Lytechinus pictus: one gene and its partners. The protein of the gene in region 1 binds, or shares a complex with, the protein of each later gene. Links are inferred from orthologs where the notes say so. Each region holds a gene or a part of one and is shown in the gene's direction. Other genes may lie near its edges. The genes, in order: ruvB-like 2, histone acetyltransferase KAT5-like, enhancer of polycomb homolog 1-like and protein UXT homolog.

Evidence for each region.
Region 2: ruvB-like 2 (region 1) and histone acetyltransferase KAT5-like share a complex: the UniProt entries of both Homo sapiens proteins name them as parts of the SWR1-like complex. The link is inferred for Lytechinus pictus from reciprocal best matches to the Homo sapiens genes RUVBL2 and KAT5.
Region 3: ruvB-like 2 (region 1) and enhancer of polycomb homolog 1-like share a complex: the UniProt entries of both Homo sapiens proteins name them as parts of the nuA4-related complex. The link is inferred for Lytechinus pictus from reciprocal best matches to the Homo sapiens genes RUVBL2 and EPC1.
Region 4: ruvB-like 2 (region 1) and protein UXT homolog share a complex: the UniProt entries of both Homo sapiens proteins name them as parts of the PAQosome complex. The link is inferred for Lytechinus pictus from reciprocal best matches to the Homo sapiens genes RUVBL2 and UXT.

What each region holds. Positions count from the first base shown.
Region 1 is NC_087253.1:12,090,779-12,098,716, forward strand, and holds the start of ruvB-like 2, read left to right. Parts: upstream 1-4,929; 5' UTR 4,930-4,944; coding exon 4,945-5,004; intron 5,005-6,676; coding exon 6,677-6,856; intron 6,857-7,392; coding exon 7,393-7,465; intron 7,466-7,938. Other genes in the region: uncharacterized protein LOC129267757, read right to left, coding at 1,078-1,335. UniProt on the Homo sapiens protein: Possesses single-stranded DNA-stimulated ATPase and ATP-dependent DNA helicase (5' to 3') activity; hexamerization is thought to be critical for ATP hydrolysis and adjacent subunits in the ring-like structure contribute to the ATPase activity.
Region 2 is NC_087251.1:35,558,639-35,565,572, forward strand, and holds the start of histone acetyltransferase KAT5-like, read left to right. Parts: upstream 1-3,926; 5' UTR 3,927-4,061; coding exon of another isoform or gene 4,062-4,114; 5' UTR 4,115-4,213; coding exon 4,214-4,246; exon of another isoform or gene 4,247-4,337; coding exon 4,338-4,398; intron 4,399-6,934. Other genes in the region: DNA-directed RNA polymerase III subunit RPC6-like, read right to left, coding at 228-371, 782-962, 1,316-1,383, 1,642-1,759, 4,062-4,114. UniProt on the Homo sapiens protein: Catalytic subunit of the NuA4 histone acetyltransferase complex, a multiprotein complex involved in transcriptional activation of select genes principally by acetylation of nucleosomal histones H2A and H4.
Region 3 is NC_087247.1:14,834,761-14,842,445, forward strand, and holds the start of enhancer of polycomb homolog 1-like, read left to right. Parts: upstream 1-4,670; 5' UTR 4,671-4,976; coding exon 4,977-5,129; intron 5,130-7,685. UniProt on the Homo sapiens protein: Component of the NuA4 histone acetyltransferase (HAT) complex, a multiprotein complex involved in transcriptional activation of select genes principally by acetylation of nucleosomal histones H4 and H2A.
Region 4 is NC_087247.1:51,229,340-51,236,798, reverse strand, and holds the start of protein UXT homolog, read left to right. Parts: upstream 1-4,456; 5' UTR 4,457-4,514; coding exon 4,515-4,684; intron 4,685-7,459. UniProt on the Homo sapiens protein: Involved in gene transcription regulation. Acts in concert with the corepressor URI1 to regulate androgen receptor AR-mediated transcription. Together with URI1, associates with chromatin to the NKX3-1 promoter region.

The sequences.
Region 1 (7,938 bases):
ATTAAATGATGGACTGTTCATGTTTAAAAAAGGGGATTATTGTCTGTTTTCATGGGGAATTAGACATCAATCACATATAAATTACCAAAAGTAGAAAGAGAATAAGGCCCAGAATACATTCTGTAATACCATTTTAAAACTGCCCTATTGTAAACTCATTATCTCATTTTCTTTGGCCTGACAGTAGCCTGAGATTAAGCAGGTTTGGCCGAAAATTTTCTTGCTGCCAGGGTTGGGCTCAATTTCTTTCTTTAAATACAATTACTTAATTGAAGAAATGTTCAATTACAATTATTTTTCAATTAAATCACTTTTTTTTTTATTGCAATGACCAATTACTTTTGTCAAATACAGTTACAATTTCAATTACTTTCTATAAGTCATAAATGAAATCACTTTGTATTCTGTATGTACTAGCAATCTAGCACCACCTATTTCAACAATTCTAGGTTACAGAGAATCTGACAAGATGAAGGTTTATGTTAAAGAGCACAGATTCTGCCTATTACACTCTTTGAAGCTGAAGCAGTTGACATGAAAAGGGTCATTGAATTAAATCATAATTAAGTTTATTGTTAAGTAACTGAATGTAATTAAAAGTTATTGACAGTAATTGAGGTCAATGACAATTACTTTCCCTACAGATTTCAAATACAATTACAATTAAAAAATGTAATTAATTACGTAACTGATCAATTACCTTCACCAAGTTAGCTTTTCCCAAAAGATATCTCTGTTACAGCTATTTTCAATATTTTTCACAAAGTCTGGGGTCAGCAAATAAGCAATGCATGACCTATGAAAGCTGATGCCCATTGGACTTTGAAGTCATTTCATAGGGGGCGTTGCAAGAAAAATATTTGCGATCAATTGCAAATATTCTGTTGCAATTTTACAATTGATAGATCACCATTAGCTGTAGCAAATCAGATTAAACTTCTTGTTTCAAGGAGCAAATTAGCAATCAGTCACTAATTTGCAATTAACTGCATGACATGATTGATTTAGGGACCAAAAATTTACTTGTAATTGCTGGCAGGTTTCTTGCAACACGCCATAAGAGAGATCAAAATTTACCTGTGTTTGTGAATTAGATTCTGGAGCACTGCAGAATAATTGATCCTTGGATGGTAATCTCCACAAGGCATCATCAGTCTTCTGAAAAGTGAACGCCTTGTTGAATAATGCGTCAATCTCGCTCTGCCCCTCGTTTGTTCTCCCTTGACCTTTCATGTGACCCCTCTTTTTTTGACGATGATTCTTGCCACGCCCCCCTTGATGGGGACGAGACCCTCTATCTCCGGAGTGAATTGGGTGGTGATCCTGGCTGGACATCTTCTCAAACCTATGAAGTGATACAGATGAAAATTGAACTGCATTAGGGTAACAATGCAATTTTTGTTAATTTTTTTTAATCCCACTGATTATATCCTAGGGAGCGGAAGCAGGGCTTTCATTTCAGCACAGCTATTTTTTCTTCCCCTCTTCTTTTCCCTGTTTCCTAGCATTTTGTTTCCTTTTCTTTCACTTTTAATAGGGCAGGCCGGAGGGTGTGTTGACAAGAATCCCTCTGCCTTGTTCATAATCCTAGCAAACTCATGAACCTGTCCCTGCCCTTCGACTCGTATCAACCCAAGGTACTTATTATAAATGCCATATGGGCAGACTATCCTTTTTAAGTTTTTGTAACTCCCATTAGCACTAATGCAGTTTCACACCAGCCGATTACCAGAATACCTCACCACAGAACTTGCTTGCAAATGTCATAGTAAGTCCCTCAATCACGTTTCAAGGTCAGTATGCCCACCACTTTTCCAAATATCGTGACCGGCTGTATTTCGGGTTCCATGCATCTCGACGTCGTTCAAATTCTCAGTCAGATATTGCTTCACTTGGCTTTGCTGTAATTTTGATTTGGACTGAAGTTGGCAACCAAAATCATGCGCACATGTGGCGGCACACAAACGGGCTGGTGAGCTGCCGCATGCCACACGCAGGCCAGGCAAATCTTTTGGTCGCCAACTTCAGTTCATATCAAAATTATGGCGAAGCCAAGCCAAGCGAAGTCTGACTGAGAAGTTGAACAATAACGTCGAGATCGGAGCTAAATACAACCGTTCCTGAATGTAATATTTGGAAAAGCAGTGCCGGTGGTCACATTGACCTTGGAATATGTCACTGAGAGCCTTGCCACAACATTTGCATACAATTAACGTTACTGGTAGTGAGGTATGCATGCTGGTAATCTGCCAGTGCGAAACTGCATTGCCATTACCGGTAATTATATTATGGATTCTCAGATTATTCATTTCTAAAACATTTCATTTTGAAAAAAGTTTTAAAATATATTTAAAACACCAAATATCATTGGCATAATGATATAGTCCCCAAATCCAAAAATGGGGATTATTAGAATCACACCTACCAGAACGCATGAAAGTCACTTCCTTTCTCCAGAACACAGTCCCCAACTCTCGCACAGCTCGAGAACTTGCAAAATGATAACACACACAAATGAAACACACTTTGTTTGGATAATATACTGTTGGAGCTATCCCCACTGCGTGCCAAATGAAATGTGTATCCCATAACGTGGGGATTGTATCACGAGTATAGCTATACTGTTGGAACTGTCCCCACTGCGTGCAAAGTGAACTGTGTATCCCATAGCACAGGGACTGCATCACGAGTATACTATACTGTTGAAACTGTCCCCACCGCCGTGAAAATCAAACTTGATTTCCCGTAGAGTGGGGACTGTATCACGAGTATATAATAGGGAGAGAACCCAAGTGTAAGTGTGTTTCATTTGTGTGTGTTATCATTTCGCAAGTTCTCGAGCTGTGCGAATCTAATAATCCCCATTTTTGGATTTGGGGACTATATCACGATTATACCATATCATTATGATTTTTGTTAGATTGGATAGTTTTTGTTTGCTTTAAATTTGAACTTTCTTTCTTTTCTATCCTTCTTTCTTCATCCTTCTATTCCTCCTTGCCTTTTTTGTTCCGCCTTTCTTTATTTCCTATCTTTCTTTCCTGATCCTTTCTCTCCGTGTTCATTTTGCTTTCTTTCCTTCTTTCTCTTACCTGCCTTCTTTATTAAATTTCCTTCATTCTTGCTTTCCTTAAACTTTTCTTTGCTTCCTTCCTCTCCTTTTTCTTTTCGTTCTTTCTCCTTCCATTATTTTCTTTTTATTTCATTCTCTCCTCCCTTCATTCTTTCCTCCTTTCTTTAATTCTTTATTTTATTATCCCTTATAATTCTTTTCCCTTATTCTTTCTTTCCCTTCCTTCCTTCCTCCTTTCCCGTTTTTCTTCGTATGTTCCTTTCTTTCAATGAAGGAACAAAAATTATTTCCTTCATTCTTTCTTTCCTCCTCCTTTTTTTCCTACTTTCTTTCTCTCCTTCATTTTATCTTTCACACATTTATTCATCTTCCCTTCCTTTCTATATTCAATTCACAGATCGAATGATGGATACCATTTTTCTCTTTTAATTTTTATTCTTTTTTTCTAACTTTCTTTTATTTTTTCCCTTCACTTTGTCTTAGTTTCAGTCTTTCTTCTCAATTCATTTCTTTTCTGTCATCTTTTCTTTCTCTTCTTCATTCTTTCGTTCACCCGCCCTTCCAATTATTTAATATATTTTTCACAAGTCTAACACTGTTTATCCTTCTTGTTTAGACTTAAGTTGTTATGTTTTGTCGATTGTCCCGTATTTCATTTTGTGAAATATGGTCACCCTGCATAATTATGCCAACTCAAGATCACTCACGCTCAGCTCGCTCAAGTTGAAGATACTCGTACAACCCATGTGTTGGAACATGCGATGAAGCTTATGTGCAATTAGGATACGAGTATCAAGAAAATGTGTTATAACCCGCTTCACATGCGCCCAAACTAAATCGCGCACGCCAGTGATCGAGGCATTAAAATGATAATCCACATGGCCTGTGCGACTATCCCCAGCGGTCCTACCTAGCTCAGCTCACATTCCTAATCGATCTTGATACTTTGGCAGCTACCTAGCGGCATTCCTAAATTCACAGATCAGGCTCAGCTCTTGCTTTCAAAATTTACTATCACCTGGATAAAATTCGAGCAAGCCAAAAGCACAAAGAAATAGTCTGTCGAGCGGCAGGGAATTCCCCTTCGCACGTTTTTTCGGAGGTAAAGCGCCAGCTAGCGTTGTCATCACAGATCAAAATGGCAGCGGTAAGTTCGCGTGGGTTTTGTAAATTTGACTCGTAACTTGATGAAATAAATGACTCTGTAGCCTAATTGATTTGTTGAATTTTATTTGTTCGTAGGGATACTGAGGAGGATTATATACTAGTGACAGTTGAATTAGTAGTATTTGAATTCTTACTTTAATTGATTGACTTTTGCTCGATTTCAGAGCACAGTGTTTAAATTTTGTATGTTGTGCATGACAACGGATCAGCCGGCGCGGCGGCCTAACTCGGGACGACTCTCTCTCTTACTCTTAGCTGATCCCTCCACTATTTGGAGATTCCTAGGGTCCAAGGTAAACAGATATGTTCCATATACGCTGTCATTCTGGTTTAGGAGGTTTGAACCATGTCAGTACGGAATACATCAATTTTGTGGAGGAAAAAGAGAGATAATAGGAGTAAACTATTGTGTAGTTCCTTGGGCAAACAAGAGTGAAATGGTATAAGGGTGGCCTGAGTAAAGTCCAGTGGGTTGGCATTGACATATAGATCGACACATGTTGGGAAGTCCACAAGGCAGTCCTTGACTTTGCCAATAAACACTTGACGGAGATGGTCTAGCTTGGGACACTGCCCAGTAAAATGTTCCACAGTCTCGTCGGTAGATTTGCATAGAGGGCAAGTGCGGCTGGTTGATTTCTTCAGCGTGAAGAGACGACACTGTGTTAAGTAGGTGGCTGTAAGGAGTTGAGCTCTCACCACAAATGCTCTTCGTAAGACAGGAGAGAGTACACTTTTCGGGTACAGGAGTTTGGCAGAAGGAGGTATACAGTCTTGCCAGTACTTAAGAGATGGCTTGGAAAGGATTCCTTGACATGTGTTGTGTTTGGTCAGCAGGTTCACTTTGTAATTGACCAATCTCTTCCAAGATGAGTATACAGGAGGATTCGATAGAAGGTCACCGCTCCGCTGAAGCCGAGGCGAAGGAAAGCGGCTGAGCTGAGCGACAGAGCCGGCTCGGAGCCAAAAGTTACCAAGACAAGTCAAGAAAAAATAATGCAAGGAACTCAGGCTCATGAGTCATGTTAATCCAGTAAAAAAAAGAGGAGAGAAATAACTAACAAAGTAACAAGTATTGAAGTAACATGACCAACAAAGCCAAAGATAAAACAATTTGAATTTAAAACTCAGTCTCAGAATATTGTCAGAAGGGAAAAAATATGTTATGTATTATGTGTTTTTTTTTAAAAAGGCTTTTTCAAACCCAGCCCTTTTAACTTTGTTTGCCCAACAGTCTGTCCCTGAATGGAATAATATTAAACTCCCTCTTCATATACATGTCAAATACTTTTCGCTTGACCAGTAGAGGCGCACGGCCAATAATGGGAGACTCTCTCCAATAACAGGGGAGACAATCTCCCACATTGGAGACTTGCTTTACAAAAGGACAAAAGAAACAACACCAAAAAAACATGATTTTTTTCCACCCGAAATTTTGTCTCACTGAGCCTTGAGGTCAGAAGCCCATTTGTTTTGTGTGTGATTGACAACAAAAATCCTTATCAAAACAAAAGTAGACGGTGAAAAGGGGCAATTTTTCATGAGAAATCTGCTTATCACATTTTTATTTGCCGCCAAGCCCAAGGTAATCCTTTTGCAGCAAATGTAAACAAAGGAAATTGGTCTCCAAAACTGGAGACTCTGAAATTGGATACCCAAATTCTTTACAAAAGTCTCTGATATTGGAGATAATCTCCCACATTGGAGACAGTCTCCAATATTGGCCGTGCGCCTCTACTGTTGACAGCCTCCAAAAGCATGAAAAGCTCTTGCAAAATCAAGTTGAAATTGAAAATACCCCTCAGCTTACTCATAACGTGCGTCCAATTCTAATTTTATTTTCAAGGTAGCGCTGCAGAGCCCTTTGAAGATGATAGCAGATGATGATGAAAAAAAAAGATGATTTTAAAAGAGAGAGAAGAGAGGAAACAAAAAGGAAAGAGATCATGAAGACATGATAAAGAAACAGAAAAGAAAAGACGAGTAGATTCTTAAAGAAAAATATATTTTAAAAATCAACAAATAGAAACATTAAAATTAAATGGGAAAACAGAGAGAGCTCAAGGGATGGGGAAAAGGTGAACCTGATCAATAACGTTTTTTCTATTGAAAAATATTGTTGTTTGACTGTTTGCCATTAAAACTGATCAAAAAAAAATAAAAAAAAGTGTGGAGCATTCATCCATAAGTGAAAAGTATGAACCGTTTGTGACAGAAAACGGCGGTCTCTGCAATGTTGATTGTAGGTCTTGTGTTCTTTGTTATTTTGCTCGAATAAAAGAATAGAAAAGTAATAGTCCGAAAACGGATGTAAAAATCTTGAGTGGATACACTGCTGGACTAGTAACTTTGTATTCATGCAGTGGATGAGAGAAGACGAGAAGATATTTATTTCTTTTCTTCAATATTATTTATCATTATTATCTTCATCTGCAGTCAACAGCACAGAAGGTTCAGGAGGTTCGTGAGGTGACAAGGATCGAGCGGATAGGAGCGCATTCTCACATCAGGGGTCTTGGTCTAGACGATGCCTTGGAAGCAAGGAATGTGTCCCAGGGTATGGTGGGCCAGACGGCGGCCAGGAGAGCCGCAGGAGTCATCCTGGAGATGATCAAGGTATGAAAGACAACTGGGCCCTTTTACATAAGGGGTTGCAATGAACTGCAAAAACAGGTGACTCCGCCCAAGTCTGGGGACCAGAGAAATCTGTTCAAATTGGGAAAAATTCATAAAAAGATATTTAGCATGTTCTGGTGGGAATTAATGCTTCAAGTTAAGCGATTTTTCCACTTACATTGTAAGGTTGACTTGTGCAGATTCTGCTGTATGAATGAACCACTTTGATTGGTTCCAGGTCAGTGTTTGTGCAATGGTAATTGCTAACCTTCGTGTTACAGAGCCCAGGATTGATTATTGGCATTCAGCAATTTTTATTGATTGCAAACTTTTGTGTTATGGAGTCCAAAAAGGAAAGGCTACATAATATGATATATAAATATACTACCCAGGGAGCAAAACCCCACTTTTGGGGTGAAATTTGAAATGATATGATTTTAAAAGTTTCTTTAGGATCTACATTGTATTTTCCATGAAGGACCTTTCATGGGTGGATTAACTTTAATTACATGTATTTATTTATCCCCTTATTACAGGAGGGTAAAATTGCAGGACGAGCTGTTCTTATTGCTGGTCAACCAGGTACTGGTAAAACAGCTATAGCCATGGGTGAGTAGAAAATAACCATTCCTGTATTTTTAAGTCCAGGGGTCTAGGGGCCAATCACAATGAAGTTATAACTCTTCATGAAATGGGCTCTAGTTCAACTATTAAAGTCATAGTTTAATTCTGCTGAAATTATGGGAAGCGACAAATGTTGAATAATTTGTTTGCTTGTAGTGTGTGTTTAAATGAGATACAATTGTGATATCATATACAAAGAATTACAAATTTTATCCATATGTCACCTCCAGCGCACAAATGGCTAAATTCACACACACACAAAATATTTGATGAGGACATATGACAATGTGCTTTCCATTATTAATGATTATGATAGTATACACTGTAGGGACAGTGATTTTCCGCGATCGCGGAAAACGGACGGAATTTACGGAAAGGGCCTTTTGAAACGGAAAGTGGCATTTCAAACGGAAAATCACGGAAAACGTATTTTCCCTCAAAATAAACAGAATAGCAAC
Region 2 (6,934 bases), on another chromosome or scaffold:
AGCATATCAGGATTCAAATAAAAACTTTAAAAAGAAATGCCACTCAGCCATTTTCGTTGTTGCTGTGTAATCCTGAACAAACACAATTATGTCCATGATGGAGCCTTTTCAAAAGTCTAAATTGTATGAGGCTTACCTTTTTCCCCTCTCACAAAAAAAGCAAGACATTGTTGGAAGTGAAGTTCAATTACTAAAATAAACAGATTGCTGCAGGAGAGCAAACAAACCTTTTGTTGAAGAAACTTGAAGCACTGTTGGTTCAGGACTTCTACAAATTCTGACTCGAACTCCTGATCACTATACCATGTTCCGCCGGTCACTGAGGGGTCAGGGGTCAGATTAAAGAGCATGTATGCCTTTTTCCTTGCTGCCTGGATTTTAAATGAAGGGAAAATTTGTGGAATGTACAATTTTTTTCATAATCCAACCCATAATATGGATCATATCATGGTCTAGTGGTTAGAGCATTGGACTTGCGTGGTTTTGAGTTCCAGTACCTGCTTGGCCATGGTCTCTACTTTGACCTAACAGGCCCTATAGTAATTTATGTCGTCTAAAACTGGTCAGCTACTATGACTGATTATATTTGTGATATTTTGTTTGAATCTAGATTTCCATACTGCACCACTGATACAGAATAATAATGCACATATGCTATCCAGGGGCTATAGACATTTATTAGCTTATCCAGCTTAAAGATAAGGGAGAAAACTAATCATTGCAATAGATTGCATGAGCAAAATGTCAACATTAGCATACCAAAAGGTTAATAAACACCTACCCCAACAGACTTGACAGCCTTGATGAGTTTCCTACTCTCTAAATTCTTCAGAATCTTGTTGAGTTGAGTTAGTTGTAGATTGCTCTTTAATCGGATATCTCGTGTCCATATTCCCTTGTTGCCTGATTGCTCGATGATCTGATATACAAGACGTTCCTGATTATCAGCTCCTTTGATTTTACTACAAAAATAATATAAGCAACAGTAATCATTTAACAAAATTTTAACATATAACATAAAATAATAGTTCTCATATAATAAAATGATGATGACAGCTATCACGTTGTATACATCTTCATTTATCAAATGATAAGATACATTTTCAATGCAGATTTGAATCCTGGCTAAGTATTCACCCCCCCCCCCCCTCCCATTAATAACAAGTTACAATAAACCAGTCTTTTCTGCATCGACCAAATATTTCATTTATCACATGAAACCCTTATACGAATTACCAGGAAATGACAGCATTGGTCCAAGTCAAATAGTGACACTTAAGTTCATTCATTTCAAGGAATAATGAATGGAAATTACCTTACAACACCAGGATCCTTCAAACGGTACAGCAATTCAGTGCTTGTCTTCACCAAGTCTATTTTACCCTAGATAAAAGAAAAGGATGCAAATTAGATTTCTTCATCAAATATGCTCTGAATTGTAAACAAATAGGAATTACTGAATCAAAATTATGTTTTTCATATTTATTTTGAAGGTATACCTTTGAAGGTATACCTTTTGGAGTCATTGTGTTGCTTAACTGAGAATATATTCTCAGATTAGCAACACAATGACTCCAAAATATAATGAATGCCTCTGACAACCACCTTCGCGGGGGAGGGGGGGTGAAAAAAGAAACTCACTGATGAAAGAAGTCTGTTGACAGCCGATACTCTCTGTTGAGCATCAATGTTTGGAAGTTGCTTCTGAATAGCCGAATCTCGAATACCATCTGATTCTCCTTTACATAGTTCCAGGATTCTGTAATTTGAACAAGAAAACAGATTACAAAAGTTCAAATTAATTGGTTACTGTTGATGAGATAGACCATAATGTCTTGAGATACAATGTAAATTCAAAATAATGGAAAATCAACTGTTTCAAATTCACATTTATAAAAAAGTGACTATGTCAGGTATTGACAGCAAAATAAATAAGCCTTCAAATCAAATAATGCCAAATTATCTGCCTGGACTAAAAGAGAGAGATTAAGTGACACTGACTGTATTTTATTCTAGTCTTATACACTCTAGGACTAGTAGGAGGCAGTGAGTGGGAGTCTTTGGGACCTAAAAAAAGGTTGAAAAAAGCTGCCAGCGTAGTAAGACTTTCAAGTACCATTGTACAAAATCCACAGATATTTAATAAAAAGTTTTACCTTAGATATAATTTGTAATATCTAAATTGCAATAAACAATAATAATTTCACTCAAGGAAGTTCATATCTAAACGAAAAAAAAAACTAGTCGTCATGCATTTGTGTACTGCCACGGGAGGCGACTTTCTACAAGTGCACCTCCCCATATATGTACGATTGTTGACTATGAGGTCAATAGGTTACGTTTTGAGTCACTTTTGACCTCATTGGTACTAGAAGTGGTCTTATAATTTAGATAATTTCATTGCAACTGCAATGCAACTTTCACAATCCAGATTCCAGGTCCAGCCTCCAGGACTGGACTCCAGTCCAACATTTTTTTACACAGAAAAGGGCAAAATTCATAAATAGCAACAAAAAAAACAAGTGACAACAAAAGTTTAAGTTTTCGTGTCCGTTTCCTTCATATCAAAAGAACATTATGACTACCGGTACTTTTCCAAAAATCTAATGGCCCGTATTCTGAAGTCAGGTTTAACTTAGACCATGGACGGTCTAACTCTGTGCTAAAATTATGGGAAGCCAAAAGTGTCAAAATGTTTATTAAGTTGTATGTTTTGTATGTTTACTGTGCTCTTTCCTGATTCATCGATGATGAAGACAATCAATTTTAATTTTATACTTCCTAGACAATTATCAGGATTATGAATGATTTGAGAGCCAAATGAGCTGAAATATGATATCTCTACTGTTAATAGTGATTTATGTAACCATTGGCTTACCATACTTAAACCACAACTTAAAACCTGAGTTTAAGTTAAACCCGACTTCAGAATACGGGCCAATATGTTTTAATTTTTATATGAATGTGAAATTGAAAATAGCAATACTAGCTGTATGGCAGTGTATCCTATTGCCGGACACCTTTATTTCAGTGCTTTAAAAATGACAACTAGAGGAAATACAATCAAGAAAAAATCACACTTGCTATTCCAAATATTATGAAAATTATGAATATGATAAAATTATTTTATAATTATATTTACCAACCATTTTCTTTGCATCGCAGTTGCCGCATACCCCTCCATGAAAAACAATTATTTTCGTGCGCGACAAATTACATCATGATTCCGGACGCGCGCCGGACGGGTAAAGATATCCTTGATTATAATGATGTAAGAGCAAATTTGTGTGATTTTTTTCTTCTTATATCATATCATGAGTAAATTCTAAGTATTATTTGCTTTTTTATATCGAATCTGAGCAGATGTTGGTAATAAATTCGTGTTTGATAACTTATTTTATTTTGTCTTGTTAGCTGCATGTTCCATGGCACTTTCCAATAATAATATGCTCGCGTTCGTATCATATCGTGACGCTCATCAAGTTCTATCGATGCGCTGCCGATCGACGGCTCTACTCACGGTAAACCTCGCGCACGGGTACCTTGAGAACTAGCCATCGACGATCACCCACAATACACCACACCTCATCATTCGATCGAAGGAGTGGACGAGATTGAAATTCGGCAAATCAGGCCCATATTTCCGTTAGAAAATACATCAATTGTTAATACAAAACTATGTTATAATATGATATTTTAACTTTTAAGCATTTTCTGTCATTTTGAGAGATAATTAGGTAAAAGTTGGATTTTTCGCCTTGTTTTTGCAATCTTGTTCTATGTATTGCTCTGTGAAATTGAATTGCGGAAGTTTTACGGTACGAATTTGTTTTAGAACGCAGTAATATGCGCGTCCGGAATCATAATAGTGTCCGGTATTAATACAATACGTGACTATATTACAACTACAAACTTCCAAAACCAGAGCAAACAAAACAGACATCAGGTGGGACTGAAGTGAAGCACGACCTTTTTGGCTAGAAAAAAACAAAAATTTAAACATATAATGCAAAATTAGAAAAAAAAATCGATCTAAAATGCATATATGATACGGCTCATACCTCTCCTCTAGATTCATAGCATCTGGTGATTCCTTCTTTTCTCCTGCACTCATTTTACTTTATCTGTGCTTCTTTCTTGGAGTTGGACAAGAAAATTTTTTTGGACAAGCCGTCGGCAGTGGAGTAATTTTGAGAGAAAACACACAAACAAAATGGCGGAAAATAATGATTCATCGATAAAAACTGTGAGTTTTGCTCGTTTTTATTAATTCTTTTAAATTTTTATTGTGCCCTATTTATTTGAACTTATAATCGCAACTCTAATTTTCTTTTCAGGAAGATCTGGTGGTTGAAGGATGCCGCATGCCTGTAAGAATGAAGCAAACGGATGAGTGGCGTAAGTTCTCTTTGGATTTATTTCATTTTGGTCCCATGTGTTGACTTTTGCGTTTGCTATATTGGTGAAATTTCTTTGTATTTATTTACCTAGGCCCTATGTCTTGTTTATAAAGTCACGTCCCTTCTCAACCATGAAATGGACCAAGGATTTAAGGACATAATATTTTTCAAAATCTTTGTAATATCCAACTAAATATGTAAAGTGCATGTACATGTAAGTGCTAAAAGAGCATTTTAAATAAAAATAAAAACATTGCCAATTTGCCAAAAAAGAGGATGCTTAAGCCTTAACAATAACATGCTAAGTCTTTAAGATAGGTATGATGGGGTGTCCAAACTTCGCGCACTTTTCAAAAATATTCATCAGGCTTATTTTTGTTCACAAAATATTCATAATTTATACAAAACCAATTCAAGAAATAGTTACCACATTGACGGCAAGATCGTAAACTATAAAATCATGGACGAAAATGTAAAGTAGGTCAAGGGGTAGACCAAAAGCTTCAGTCTCTGTATTTTGGTTGTTCCGCTGAACTACGTTGGCTCCACTCACCATACATAGACTGAAGGGGATGGGGCCCCGTACCTACAGCCAACGTATAGTGAACTAGCGTTTTATAGATCGCGATTTAAAACTGTTTTTTAAGCAAAATTGAAAGTTTCATCATGGTTTCCATTATCAGGGAAATATGAATAAATTTAGTAATTGCATACCTTGGGCCGGAGTTATTGAAAAAAATCCTCTGGATGATTGAGAAATCTGTCATCTAAGACATTTTCACCTGACCTGACGGTTTTTCTTGCAAGTTGCCATCTTGAATGACGTCATTATCGTTATAAACTTAATGTCTCGAATCGATATATCGCGATTATAACTAGTACTAGTACTAGTATAACTAGTATCGTTTATCTTCGGTTTCGATCGCATATGGAGCAGATCGTATAATATCGAAAGCAATATCGATATCACATTCGTGATTGTTGACGTTCGTTTGTAAATATTTTATAGTTTGGCTGCCATTTTGACCATTTTTATCGTGTTCAACCCAATTAAACATCGGTAAAGTATATTTTTCATGCCTTTTTCATCTATATCGTTTAAAGTATTTAAATATTAAAATATTAAATTTTACAAGTTTGTTGTTTATACATCCTTAGATTGTAAATTCGATGTGTAAAATTACATCAAACTTTGGACTGTGAATTGACAAAAGGGAGGGAATGAGAACACATGCGAGCCCACACGTACACCCTACCGTCGGTAAATGGGGATTACAGTAAAATGTCAGAAATTGTTGAATAAATCCCCAGAAACGACGGTTATTCCTGTCTAGTCAAGGGGTTTCGCCGGTATCGCGATCTCAAAATTCTATTCCGATCGGCGAATGCGGGCTGTGCTGGAAAACCGTTCAGAAAAAGTGTGACCTAACTTCGCGCACCAAAGCTTTTGTGGAGATTTAAACAAAAAATCAAGCTAAAAAAGTGAAATATTTATATCAGATTGATGGCAAAATGCTATGGAATCGGTTAGTACCACATTTAACTCACATTTTTTATGATTTCTGCTTGCAAAATGGTGATATCGTGATGCTTGTTGATTTCTTCAAAACGGGCGCTAGCGGTGGCAAATTTGCCGATCTTTTGCCAATATTTTCATGAATACTGAACTCATCCTAAAGAAATTTTCACTATAGGGTACTTTTAGGTCGCTTTTCACGTTGATGATGTCAGATTTTAAGGATATTGGCTAGTTTTTTAAATAATGACCGTCCGCGAAGTATGGACACGCGCGAAGTTTGGACATACTGCCATATATGTGACAAAAAAAATAAAAATCATGGAATTACATTGTAACCTAGCTCATTGGAAAGGGCTGAAAAAAACATTTAAAATGGTATTATTAACCATTACTCTAGGCCAAATATTAAGAGAGTTATGATTTTTTAAATATTAAAAATCTGATTTAATTATTGCTAGGCCTAGACACTTCAGCCAGGCGGGCGATTGCGCGGACACAGCGCTAGACGTAGATTTTTGCATTGCAGTGAATGGCGAGCGCATATCTAACACACACAGTTCGCTCCGCTCGACACTTTGGCCGAGCGCTGGAGTTGCATTCGGCATTGCTCGAAAAGACAGAGTCAGTTTCTTCCTTTATTCCGCTGATTGTGATTGGTCAAAAATTCCCGCGGTTGCTTTGTACATCTTCGGTAAACATCGGAAATATATAAGATGGAGTATCACTTACCTTCATGCGAGGGAAGGACCTAATATTCAGGTATTTATTTTTCTTTGCTTGAAATCACCTTCTTGTAATCATCGGATCTCTTGTAAACTCGGTCAGTAATAAAATTGTATATTTGAGAACATTTTGTTAAATTCTAATTAAATTTGGTCCGTAGAGAGCCTGCGGATATGAGCTTCAGTTTTGAGTGTCATGAGGTGTTTGTGAATCTGACTCGGCCGATCGAGCAGGGTTGTTTTGAGCGTATACGAACAGCTGTAAGTGACGTCATCCCCACTGCGTTGGGCCT
Region 3 (7,685 bases), on another chromosome or scaffold:
CAACTCCCTCATTACTTTAGTACTTATTTCACTTATATTCTCACTTTTATAGTGTCTATGACAAGGTGAGGTTTTCTCTTTATGAGAGGACAAGTACAGAGGTTTCACAACATTATATCATTGATGAATCGTTTGTCATATGATTAGAACGAGCAAAAAGAGATGTTTTGGGTATATTTTCAGTGTCCAAAAGGGGAGAGTTGTTCATCTGTGACATCATAGATCTTGGTCGCATTGCCAATGGGAGGATCTCCATAGCATTAGTGATCTCGACATTCAAATGCTCATAACTCTTCTATTGCTAGTCCTATTTTACTCAAACTTTTGTTGATCTTATTCTTTGATTTTTCTGCTTTCACAAAAGCTAACTTGCTCCAAGAGTTTCATTCTCCTTTAAAGAATGGAAATGGTTTAGGCGTTTTACCCCCCCCCCCCTTCACAGGCTTTTGCAATGGAATCCAGCAAAATCATACAGGTATATGATACAGGTAAAGCTAGGAAAGTAACCCCCAAAATTGTAGGATTGTTCAAATTATTATGGAAAATTTTTCAAACCTCCATTTCAATATTTTTCTTCCTAAAGTGACCCCCGAAAATATACTTGCCCCCCCAAAAAAAAAGAAAATTAAAAATAACAAGTATGTGCATGCATAGGGGTGGGGGCTACCAAAACACCAGTGTTGCTCTTTTTTATTTTTATTCTTACTTTTACCCAAAAAAAGGGTTCGCTTCCTCTTGCCTCTCTGTTTTTTTTATTCTAAAAAAGCAAATATTATAGGCTACCATTGAATGGGGAATGAAACACTTGGAACAAGTTAGCTTGTGTGATCTGAAAGGAACAAAATAATCAATGAAAGTTTGAAAGACAAAATTAATGATATTTAGAAGCATTTGACTACAGAGATCACTCGATGTGGACATTCTCGCATTGGCAATACAACCAACATGTTGCCACACACAACCCCTATAAAGCTTTCTGCAGATATTTTACTTGAATTATCTTTATTTTCCAAGAAGATCCATAGACGAGGTGGTTTTGTTTCATGGGAGGACATTTTAATGAAGGTTTCATAAAATGTATCGTGGGCAAAGATTGTTGCTATCATTAAGATAATGAAAAAAAAAAATGTTTGGGTATATTTTAAATGTATAAAGGGGTGAGTTGTACTCCGGCCGGGGCGGATCCAGAATTTTCCAAAAGGGGGGGGGGCACATTTTCCTTGTGAAAATTTGACAAGCAAGCAAAAAAAAAAGGTCCTCACTTTCAAAAGGAAAACGGTATATTAAGTTAAAACCGTATATTAACATTACAAATTTTGATTATGGCTCTCAATGGGGGGGGGGGGGGGGGGGGGGGGCACGGGCCGGCTGTGCCCCCCCCCCCTGGATCCGCCACTGGTTGTACTTTTGTAATATCACAAATCCTTGATCACATTACCAATGAGTGTCTATCCATAGCATTAGCATTGAGAGTAACACTCATTGCATTCGTGATTCAGCATTCTAATGCTCATTGTTAGTCTATTGTTCTCAAACTAATAATATCTTCTTCATTGTGTTCCTACGTGTTAAAACGTGCTTAAAATGTTCCCTTTCGGGTCAGTATATCACACTCCCATCATTGAGATAATTTGAACAGTAGTTCTTTATTTAAAAACGTCCTAATTTACAGCTTTCAGATTGGAATATAAAATGTTTCATCTTTGCGCCTGTGTCATTTATTGAGCAAGATATACCCACCCTTTTCATGTTTATAAAAAGTGAATGGAATGTCCCTAAAAAATCACCTCACGCATTAATTCTTTACTGGATATCTTGTTCTTTATGAAAAAAATAAAAGGTTATTACATTGTCAATATTTACAGATAGGAATAATTATCAACAATTTTCTGCTCGCGCTTCAAAGCTCATGCACATAGTGTTATTTTAGATATCCATTCTGTTAAAAAAATGCTTAGAATCTCCCGTTTAAGGTCTAAATCGCAAAAAATCAGCTCGCGCTTCGCGCTGCCACAAATTATAAATTTTTGATATTCCGACCTAAAATTTGATATGCACATTTAACTGTCCAAGTTTAGGTCGGAATATCAAAAATTTAACCTCGCCCTTCGCGCTCTTATCAATTGTTTAGATAGCCATCTTGGTCATGGTTACAAAAAGTACTTAGAATGACAAGTTTCCAGTGAAAATGATAATTTTCAGCTCTCGCTTCGCGCTCTCATTGGTTGGTGAGATGTGTATCCTCCTCGATCGTGAGCCTCTGCAAACACTAAGTCCGAAACAGGTCCCTTGACTCCCTTATCATGTCATATTACCAATTTTGGCACGCGCTTTGCGTTCACATTATTTATACTTTATGAGACACCTTATCTTGTTCTTAATAATAAAGTTAAAAATGTAACTGCAGCAGCCTTTATCTTTTAGCGGCCGATCTGGGAAAGATGGATTACAATAATAAATTGTCTTCCGCCCCTAGCCTCACTCCCTCCTATTGGCGAAAGTTAGATCCGTCCCTGGAAGTAACAGAACTAAACATGAGTTCGGGCCTGATCATTGAAAGTAGAAAGGTCCACTTTTTACAATTCAGACCCCCCCCCCAAAAAAAAAAAAAACTGGCTACGGGATATACCCATCTAATATTGTATCATCTCCTACTCTATAAGTATCTTCTGCTTTGTATCTTTGTACAAATAATTTTTTATTAAAAAATGTTTGAAAAAAGAAGGAAGACAATTAGAGGTGGATATTTGTTGTGCGTTATGTGTTCTTTATTTTGTGATGATAAAGATGAAGAGAGGAGAAAATGGTGGTAAGAATGACGACAGTGTTCAGATTTTCACATCAGTGCCATGGGAAGAGCGCCCCCACTTTTTAACTTGTTAAGCAAACGATACTGAACCCCTTTTGAACATGCATATACTTCAATTTAGGGCAAATCAGTTCACATGGAAAATCATTTAATTGACATCCACAAACACACAAAATGATCGAATGGCAACAATTATCCTCATTTTATTGGAAAGGGTATAGTCCTTGCAAATGAAAGAAATGAAGATATTAATTGATATAGGCATTAAAAAAAAGTGAAGACGATTATTTTTCCACTGATATAATAATAATAACGCAGTTCTTGTATTTTTTTTTTAGCGCATATCACATGTAATAACGTCCCTATGCGCCTCCGAAGGACTTGGATATTATTCCCCTGGCTTTAGCCCCGCAGCTTTATACAGCGCGATGGCATTTCATGGATTAAATTTCTGCCAGGTACCCATCTCACCTCGGTTGAGTGCAGCACAACGTGGACGAATTCCTTGCTGAAGGAAATTACGCCCCGATTACGCCATGGCTGGGATTCTAACCCACGACCCTCTGTTTCAAAGTCAGAAGACTAATCCACTGGGCCACAACGCTCCACATATTGATATTGCCATATCCCATCAAAGGCAATTCACTTTAAAATTGAAAAAAAATTATCGAGCTAGATCATAGTGTTAAAGGACGGACTCCATCCCAACGAAAAGTTTATTTTAATAAAAAGAGAAAAATTCAATAAGCACAACACTGAAAATTTCATCAAAATCGAATGTGAAATAAAAAAGTTATACATATATCTTTCGCTAAATTTCACAAAACATGCACATCCTGGTATAACCTTTATAATTATCATTATCCTTTATGTTTGTTTGCGATGGACAGGGCGGGGGGGGGGGGGTAGGCTGCATGGCTAGATTTGATTCTCCAGAAAAAAAAATTGAGACGATCAGAGGCCCGTTGCAGAAACTTTTTGCAATCAAACGCAACTCTAAATATCTTACGCAACTGTTAAAACAAATATTTATGTTTTTATTTTAAATCTTATCATAAAAAAATATGCAACTCGACCAATTATCAAAAGCGTGATGGGCTCAATCATGACTACTCCCGGATTTTTTTTAGACAACCTGCCTGGTTGTCATATTTTATGTTTTCATCTTGGCCTTGATATTTTTATAAATAATCGCTGAAGTCATTTTCGAGTTATTGGTTCAATCATAATAGTAGCCATAGGCGGCGGAAGCGGGGGGGGGGGGGGGGGACGTGTCCCCCTAAATTTGAGGTGGGGGGACGATCCCCCCTAAATTTCTTGTTGATGACCTTTTTTTTTTGTTTTTTTTTTGCTTGTCAATTTTGTTTCCTGCGTCCCCCCTAAAATTTTTGGCTTCCGCCGCCAATGATAGTAGCCAAGATAATAACATAACATGACTTTTGTTTTAAACTTGAGCTAAATGGTTTTTAGGCTGCCTTCCCCTACTCCGTAAAGTTTACCAGGAAAATATTACTAATAGCCTATAGGGCCTATATTTCGATGATTTGTTCTCACCAAAAGCAAAAAAAAAACAAAAACAAGTAGGCAGTCCAAAATTCGGCAAATTGGAGAATGAGCAGAAAAACTGTAAATATTGTTTAAAAATGGAAATATTCAGCTGTTGATAATCTTAATATCTTTGATCTTATAACATTAAATTTTGCTAGAGTCTCGAAAAGACTGGTAAAAACAGTCAAATTTGCTCTTATTCAGTTAAAGCAAATTGCACTATTAAGTTTACAAGCGGTCTAATCCTGAAGTGTACACCGTTCACTACTACTGAAGCCATCAGCTGTTTTTAAATGGTTTAGGCCGAATGCACACACACAATTCCCGGGTTCCGCCGTGGGAACACAACACGTTATGAGATGCGCGCGCAGACGTGATCAATCCAGAGGAATTCTGGGAAGGTTGCGAATTTTTTGTCCGCCATGTTGTTATGTATAAAGGCGGAAAATTTACCGTTATTTTGCCTTCATTTGTGATTTTTAGCACATTTCTCCAGATTCTATCTGAATGAGAGGACGGATGATACCACTATTTCTGACTTCAGCTCGGTGATTTTGGCCTATTTGGCCTATAGAGGCACATTCTGGCATTTTTAAGGGATCGTTGACACTCCGTCATCATGAGCAAGCTAAGTTTTCGAGCTCGGGCTCCCGATCCCGCGAAGCCGATGCCCATCTACACAACAGATGAGCTTCCAGATTTGCCTGATTTTTCCACTACCAATCGGGCAGTTCCTCAAATGCCCACAGGAATGGAAAAAGAAGAAGAATCGGTAGGTTTTTGTTTCATGCAAATTAGTCCGTTGGTCTTGCATATATAATGAGGTTACCCGGATCTGGCGGCCATTTTGAAATCACGCCCTTTTTGGCGGGACCGACGTTTTTTGCGAGACGAATAATTCATATTGTTTTGCGACATTTATTGGTTTGTTTTCAATGAGATATCTATTCACGGTTATTTATTAGATGCTTTCATTATTCAAATTAAGAAATATGTGAACTGAAGTAAGTTGATTCGATTTAGAATTCGATTTTTGAAAGTTTTTTCCTCTGTGAAATGTTGACTTCACCCATTTTGAGAATGGACGGTCCCGCATGCGTCACATGCTAATAATTAGGTCACCGTATTATTTTTAAACCAAATTGAGTTATTTTTTATTAATTTTTTATTTAAACATGTATGAGCTGTTTAATGATGATGATTTTTTTTTCAGCTGTACAAAAAGAAGAAATTTTAAGGTTATGATACACTTGTGATATTTATTCTCCACTGCATGCTCATGAATTATTCATAAGTGGATGATGAATGGTGGACAAGTCCATTATGTGTAGATAGGGTTAGACTTAGAGGGAAAATTTCTGTGTTGTGCAATAAACTCTGACATGTGCACGATGAATGTAAACATGATTTCACTATTAAAATGTACATTTATTTGTTTACATGAAATGATGAGTTGACCTTAATTTGAATTATTGATTCTGAATTTTTTAATGAAACCAACTTGGCCTTTTTTTCCCCTGAAATTAGAAGTCTACATGTACACAGTCACAGTAGATTTACCAAAGAAGTTCATAAGAACAAATTAAGAGCAGAAATGTTATTGACAGGCTGACAAAATCTTAGAATATGACCAATACACAGAATACAGATATTTATTATTTTGTTTGTGCAACTTTTTTTTTTTTAATGTTTAGACATGTGTCCTCCTTTTCCCAATTTTCACATGTCAGATTTTTTTTTTTACAATATTAAACAAATATAGGGGTCTAATGATAATAATTATATGATATTAATAGTAATAATAATGATAATAATTATGATAATAATGATTATAATTTAATAATGATAATGTAATTTATAATATTGATGATGATGATATTAATAACAATGATAATATTTTAATAACAATAATGATAATATTAATAACAAATAATATAAATAACAATAATGTGGTAGGCACTCATTCAATGAACAAGGTTATGATATAACATTGTTCTCTGTTACTATTTATCCCCTGTGTGGAGAAATAAGGTTGGCAATGTTTGGCTTATTTTCTCTTGTTCTTGTGATTTTTTACACTGTCAATTTCCATTACAACTATTCATCGTATAACTTGGCTTGAAGTAAATTGAATTCTTTTGATTATTTTTTCCATATTAAAAATGAAGAATGTAAATGTTTTCTTGCAATTTTACTCTCCACCAATAGAGGGCCTACACAAAAGTATGCCCAAAATTCAAGTTTTTATGCTCTCTGGTGAATGAAAAAATGATCCCTAAGCTATATGAATTAAATTAAATTGCAGATGTATGGAAATGAGTATATTTGGTTACAAAAGTGGTATTTTAATGATTTTTTTTTAATGTGTGTTGTATACTGCATAGATCCACTTGTAGGCCTATACATGTAGATTCCCACAGGCAGGGTGGTTGTAGTGAACAAGTGATGGTAGGGTCTACATGTAGTTATGTTTATTTTATGCGCTTTGACCAAAAATTCTTTTTTTCCTTAAGTTGTGAATTATTAACTTGGGGATCTTTTTTTTTATTCAGAGTGCACAAAAAATGTGATTTTGAGCATTTTTGTGTAGGCCCTCTATTGATTGAGAGTCATTTGCCCAGTTTGCCAATAGCTAAGTTTTTTTTAAGTTTTAAAAAAGATTTAAACTGATAAAAAACCTCATAATTTGACATTTTTAAAATCAACATTTCACAAAATCCCACAAACGTCCAGACTATAAAAATATTATTAGTTTAATTTGTGATGCTACATGTATGTGTCAGAACTGCGGCCAAATGCAACAGGTCGTGTAATTTCAAATCATATTTCAAGATATATTGCAACTTTTATATTTGCTGTTCCCTGTAAAAGTGAGCAATGTGTCTGCTCATATTATCCCACCAGAGGCAGCGTAGAGTAATTCGGGAGTAATTACTACAAAAGCATTTTTCCTTTTGTAATTCACCTATAAGTTTGACTTTAGGAATCTTTGGTCTACAATCTGCAAGAAATATGCAATGAAACACATGTGTAACATATTTTTACCATTGCGGCATCAAAGTGGCAATAAAGAGAAAGTGTTGGATGGTTCCCCTTGTCTTAAAACTCCTTGACTCAACCCAGGTGAGGTACATGTAAATGGGTACCTGCAGGCAGTAATTCCTCAAAAAGTTGTGAGCACCGAAAAAAAAGAATACCAGCTTAGCCAGGGTAATATAGGAGCACCTTGAGCACCTAACATGGTGGATACATGTGCTAGATACAAGTTACGTATTATTTATTTATTATTCATAATGCTGAAAATTTCATTGAAATTCAAATATGTGAA
Region 4 (7,459 bases), on another chromosome or scaffold:
ATTATTTTGGATATTTGAATGTAGATTTATAGAACAATCTTTGCATCATGATTGCACAGTGAAAGTATGAACTCAATGCTCACCGTATTTTCCAAGATTTCTGGGGCTAAATTTGGGAAGATTTTGTGGGAAAAGTGAACATGGTGATTGCGGGCATGTGCCGATCGACTGTAGAAAAGAGCACGTCGGCGATCAGAAGAGAGCCTGAGGCTATTTTTCCATTAAAGAATATTGATGAGAATTATAATGTAGACCATGATATATATTTTATCTCCATAACTAGTGAATTTAGCTAGTTTTTGTTATTTTGGGGGGATATAGTCCTTTGCAAATGAGTTTTGGGGTTTGATCATTACAAGATCTAATGCCGGGATCTAATAGAGGGGGGGGGGGGTGAGACTAGAGGATCGAGCGGCCGGAGCTCTAGACCAAATATAAAGTATATTAAAATAAGCTAGTGTGTATATACATATCAATAAATACATATAAATAGGTCTATGACATGCAGAATAAAGATTAAATAAATCCCTGAAATAAAACATTTTATGATGCCATATACAGGGCAGTTTATAATCACTCGCGTCGCGTGCGGGTTCGTAATCACTCGCGTTATGAATTTTTTGCGATTTTTTTTTTCATTTCGGTGCGATTTTTTTTCTAACGGTGTCTTCAATGGGACAAACACGCTGGGAAAATAAAATGAAATTGAAATTCGAGTTTCGTTTTAAGCCGGCAAGTGCCTTAAATAAGATGTACTCGACTTCTGTTTTAACATAACAAACAAGCAAATCAGCCATGTGGCTCAACTAACTTAGAATAGATCCGGACTTCTACTGTGTCTTATACGAGGACTCCGAGTCGGAACTTGCCATATCTGCCACATCGATATTACATCGTATCATTCCCATATGCGGACATGCCTACATGCAATGGCCCCAAGGCGGCCGGACCCGGCCGCGGTCGGACACGACGTGCATCGGTAGCATGGAGCAAGCTAACGTGAGTCGAGCTGAGTTAGATCCCACGTTATATATGAGGCGCCGATTGTACCAATATTATATAGAACAATTATTTGTTATATAATCATTATTCATTAAATAATAACTATTATTTATATATAATTTACATTCTATTTGTAAATAATTACTATTATATAAAATAACATTTCTAATAATTTATATATAATTCCAAGTAATACTTCATTACTTGTAAATAATAATACCAACGCGACGCGAGTGATTACGAACGCGAGTGAATATAATAAGCCATATACAGGCACTATAGTATTCTCCATGGTCTCCCTCAGTCTAACCTCTCTGTAATTTCATTGTCTGAAAATTAAGCAGCTGATGGATATTTAATTCATATAAATTATATATATTCCATTACTTTAATATTATTTTAAAAATTTGCATTTTAAATTAATTTCATCACATTCAGTCACTAATTACTTCTCTCACAGATAATGTACCTTAATTTCATTATTTTTAAAACTTATTTTCTCTCATTATACTTTCATCTATTCTCATCCATTATTTTTTTTATATTTAATTAATTATTTTAATAAAACTTCAGAATGTCCGGCCATGATCCTGAATTACATGCAATTATGTATCTGTGGAGAGAAAAGAAAACACAGCTCGGTTAATATCTGAATAGAGTCATGATTGAGATAATTATTTATGAAACATGTATTCTTGACAATCGATTGATATATTACTAAAATATATAACTAGGATAAAGTAATCAAATCTACTGCAGAGTTTATTATTGATCATGCATCATTTTATTAATTCCTTGGGAATTCCGGGACCAGTTTCCTCCACTGCCTCGCCGACGTACTCTGTCCCTGGGCCGAGAGTGCCCACAGTCCGTGCAAACGGCATGCATACAAGCACACTTTGCACAGCCACAGCCTGGTCTCAGTTGTACAGCTCAGAATACGCACAGACAGTGCGCGAAGATGAAACAAAATTGCACTTGTTTTCATAAAATATGTGGTAATTCTTGCAACTATAGCTAGCACATCTATCTCTGCCACCCATATTTTTAATTAAGAAGAAAAGTGATGTTAGACTACGGAACAAATATGACGAGGCGTTTACTGGAAGTTAGCAAAATTTTGGCTGCGGGCGTCGCTCGAGTTTTGATACACTAAGCCTAATAAGCCTGGAAATCGTACACTTTATTGTCGGCTGCTTGCGTTCGCATGGTCGCATCCGGACAATAGGGGCGCTATTCAGTAGAGGCACACGGCCAATATTGGAGACTGTCTCCAATGTGGGAGATTATCTCCAATATCAGAGACTTTTGTAAAGAATTTGGGTATCCATTTTCAGTTTTGGAGACCAATTTCCTTTGTTTACATTTGCTGCAAAAGAATTACCTTGGCGGCAAATAAAAATGTGATAAGGAGATTCCTCATGAAAAATTAGCCCTTTCAGTCAGACGGCAGGTCCCAAGAAAGTGGCTTCTTTCATCCATGCATCTTGTTTCCTATTGTTCTTCGCCAACGTTACAGACGCGTGCGTCGGGTAACGTTGGGGAAGAACAATAGAAAACAAGATGGCGGCGTAAACATCGGGCAAGTCTCTTCCGTCTTTACACAATATTTCTCTCATTTTTTTTGATGAATTCTTGTTCAAAAATAACAACGAGAGCGTAGAAATGTCGGAAATGAAGTTTTATCCCATGACATGTAGGCCTAGCCTACATGATTTAGGGCTAGATCTTTTAGAAAGAAAGTAGAAATCTCGGGGGCGAAAGTTTCAGGTTTTTTGGTGGTACACACAAAAGTATATGACGGAAGCCCTGGCTTCATGAGAGTGACCTTACGTTAGTAAATGATTTTTACTCTCTAGAAGCCGCCTGGCTAGGCTACCCGTGGCCACTCTAGGCGACACCCCAATACTTACCCGTGCTAATAAACTGGGACTCCACTCAAGCGCATTTGGGCCGCCCTAGCTTAGAACTAAGCAATATTATCTAGAAATTGTTACATTGTAGTCATTAAATATGTTCTATTAAATAAATTGATAATGTTTAATCGGTACTCACCGGTTCTTTTGTTGCATTTTCAGACCATTTCTCACAATTCTTCGTAAATATTTGCGGCAAATTTTGTCGCCATAGACAGCTTAGCATCCATCTTTATTGATAAATGGAGCGCCCTTTACGATAGTTGTTAATGCCGCGGAGAAATCGTTAGGCATTTTGGCCTGTGTTCAAGGCGTTCTTTCTGTTTTATTTTTTATATTGAAGATTGTGCATTTGTTGAATAGATCGAGTGTATAAATACACTCTTCCAAAATAATTATGATTCCGACCTGGCGCTGTTTAACTTCAATCTCTTTCACCTAAATTAGCGATGAATGCTAGCATTATTATAAAATATATATTATTAACGTCTGACGAAAAGAATAACCAACCGATCAGCTGACGAGAACGCGAATCACGTGATCTTCATATCAGCTTCGATCGCGAGTCAGAAGAGAAGAGCAGCTGCCCAGAAAATCAGGAAAAAGCCGTGAAAATGTAAGTTCCCCTTCATTTCTTTCATTTTTTTGTTGTTGCTAACGATGCATTTACACTATAAAATTATAATTTAAATAAGAGAAAGGAATATAGCTTGTACTTGTGATATAATATATAAATATCCTGTTCTCAGAGATTTCTAACCAAAAATACTACTGATGTCGCCTATGAGGTCCATACATGTAATGTTGGACCTCATTGGTAGGATGGGGGATCGGGTGTCCGGACACTTTATATTGTTGAAGCCTTCTTTATTTGTCTTTGGATTACACTAAAAATATGAATTCAATAGTTGTAATCATCTTCCATTTTGTTCTCCATAATATTTCCTTACATTTTGTACGAAAAATTGATGAAACTTCGCTTGTAAATTTTTCCAAATGACTTTCTAAAATTGATCGTCCGGACACACAACCTGTCCGGACACACAACAACTGGGTATACTAGGAGTGCCCGTGGCGTGTGCGAGGGGAGCTTCTTGCAATAGAACTTACACGTTTTACAGTATATGGGACTGTACTAAGGAAATTAAAAAAAAGTAAAATATAAAATCTATGGACTTACCTATCACCAACTTTCTGCAAATCAACTTTTTTCTGACTGGCAAGCAATAAACTAACATAATGTCTTATAATACCAACGAAAAAGGTAATAAAAACTATGGGTAATACCACCCAAATTCTGATATTGGGATCCAAGAGTAATTCGGCCATCTCTATAGTCTATCATCAGCTCAATGAAAATTATTTTTATTTATGTTTTTAAACTCTGTTTTTTTTTTAATTCGTGCAGTTTTTATTTTGAAAATATTAAAAATTTATTTAATTTATATTTTTATACATGAATAAAATTAATAAGATTAAAAAAACTCAGAAATAATTAAATTATAAAGCACTTTTAAACAACATTTACAGTTTTAGTCTCAGTCCACAGACCCCAAACCGGTACATTAGATCTAAAATTAGTAACAGCAGACAGGGATGCACCTGGTCAGAGATGCCTGTATCAGGCCTGTGTGCTGTAGACCACTGACCACTGCCACTGGATCAGCATCAAACTCCTTCTTCAAGTTCAAAATGTCTGAAGATATACCAGAAAAGGTGATTGAATATGAAAGATTCGTCAATGAAGTGCTTAGGAAAGATTTAGAGTAAGTTGTTTAAGTTAACCTTTCATTTTTAAAAATTTTATCATGATTGAAAATGAAATGAAATAACGTTAACAAGTTACAAAAAATACAAGTTAGTTAGGCCCTAGACCATGTAGACTTTTTAACTTCAAAATTCACACAAAATAATAAAAAGGAATTAAATAAAATTAAAATGAGACACGATCAGTCTATAAGTATAATGGGGTGACCATTATAATTTGCACACATTTTAAAAATCATCATGAAGTTGATTTTCAATCAAAAATTTCTAACACTAACAGCTCACACAAAATTAATCAAAATCATGATCATGAATACCAAACGGAAGGCAAGATCAGTCAAATTCGCTTGACGGAATTATAAAGTAGGTCAACATTACGTCAGACCACCGTTTGGAGAAAGACCGCAGTTCAGATTGCAAACTGCGGTACTATACCCCATTTTGCATTCGTAAATCCCAAAATCATTTCCAAGCCCAGGGGGCTGTTTCATAAAGCTGTTCGTAAGTTAAGAGCGACTTTAAGAACGACTGGTGATCCTTTCTCGCGCGCTAAATCATCGCCAATGGTGTGTACCATTTACGGCAAGACAGGATCACCAGTCGCTCTTTATTTACGAACAGCTTTATGAAACACCCGCCTGATCAACCCCGCTAGGCCAGGTAATCCCCGCTGTCTCAATTTTACCTCCACAGGCCAGATTATGAGCGTTGAGCCATGGAGCTATTGGTTGAGCCAAGGACGAAATGATAAACAACAGCTGTGCTATTACGCAAGACTTCTCTGCCTGTCGTAGGACCTTCGGAATGAAATTATTGTATTCGATATTTAATCACGTTTTCAAAGGCATATTGTATTTAGAAATCCAATGTTAGCCCATTTTCAATTTCGAACAAAGAAAATCGACCTCGAAATAAGGAAAGAAAGTGAATTAAAATGACGGCATGCTTTGCAGGGCTGTTGTGTTATCTTCGGACCGAGGTCAAGAAACGGGTGTTTTGATACTTAAATTGCTTGCTTGGGGCAGTTATGGTTTGTCGTACTTGGATAAGAGAATTGATTGAGGGAAACTGGGGTATAGTGTTCTCAAATGGAGGTTTTTCGTCATGAAGGGTTTCGCTCGTATCGCGGTCTCAAAGTTCCATGGCGATCGACTAGTGCGCGCTCTGCTGAAAAAAGTGTCATAAAAAAAGTGTGACCTTAATTTGCGCACGATCGTTTTACGAGGCGTTAGAAAAGAAATCAAGCAGACAAAGGTAACATAATAAAATTGTATCAGATGGAGCTGGAGGTTAAAATGCCATAATTTTGGTTGGTATCACATTTTACTTACTTATTTGGAGACTTCCGCTTGCAAACTGGTGAATTCTTGATGCTTGTCGAGAAGGTCAGATTTTCTCAGAGCAGACGCAAAAGGTAACAATATTTGCCGATGTTTTACCAATATTTTCATTAATAGACCTTACCTTCAAGAAAATTACTATATTGGGTAATTTTAAGTCGCTCTTTCTGTTGGTGATATCAGTTTTTTGTCTCACCTGCATAGCAGAGTGAGACTATAGGCGCCGCTTTTCCGACGGTGACGGCGACGGCGGCGGCGTCAACACCAAATCTTAACCTGAGGTTAAGTTTTTGAAATGACAGCATAACTTAGAAAGTATATGGACCTAGTTCATGAAACTTGGCCATAAGGTTAATCAAGTATTACTGAACATCCTGCCTGAGTTTCATGTCACATGACCAAGGTCAAAGGTCATTTAGGGTCAATGAACTTAGACCATGTTGGGGGAATCAACATCAAAATCTTAACCTAAGGTTAAGTTTTTGAAATGTCATCATAACTTAGAAAATATATGGACCTAGTTCATGAAACTTATACATAAGGTTAATCAAGTATCACTGAACATCCTGCATGAGTTTCACATCACATGACCAAGGTCAAAGGTCATTTAGGGTCAATGAACTTTGGCCGAATTGGGGGTATCTGTTGAATTACCATCATAACTTTGAAAGTTTATGGATCTGATTCATGAAACTTGGACATAATAGTAATCAAGTATTACTGAACATCCTGTGCAAGTTTCAGGTCACATGATCAAGGTCAAAGGTCATTTAGGGTCAATGAACTTTGGCCAAATTGGGGTATTTGTTGAATTACAGCCATAAATTTGAAAGTGTGTTGGTCTAGTTCATAAAACTTGGACATAATAGTAATCAAGTATCACTGAACATCCTGTGCGAGTTTCAGGTCACATGATCAAGGTCAAAGGTCATGTAAGGTCAAAGAACTTTGGCCACGTTGGGGGTATTTGTTGAATTGCCATCATATCTCTATAAGTGTATTGGTCTAGTTCATAAAACGTGGAAACATGACGAAAACCTTTCATTTGAAAACACTATACCCCAGTTTCCCTCAATCAATTCTCTTCTCCAAGTACGACAAACCATAACTGCCCCAAGCAAGCACTTTAAGTATCAAAACACCTGTTTCTTGACCTCGGTCCGAAGATAACGCAACAGCCCGAGCAAAGCATGCCGTCATTTTAATTCACTTACTTTCCTTATTTCGAGGTCGATTTTCTTCGTTCGAACTTGAAAATGGACTAACATTGGATTTCTGAATACAATATGCATTTGAAAACGTGATTAAATATCGAATACAATAATTTCATTCCGAAGGTCCTACTACAGGCAGAGAAGTCTTACGTAATAGCACAGCTGTTGTTTATCATTTCGTCCTTGGCTCAACGCTCATAATCTAGCCTGTGGAGGTAAA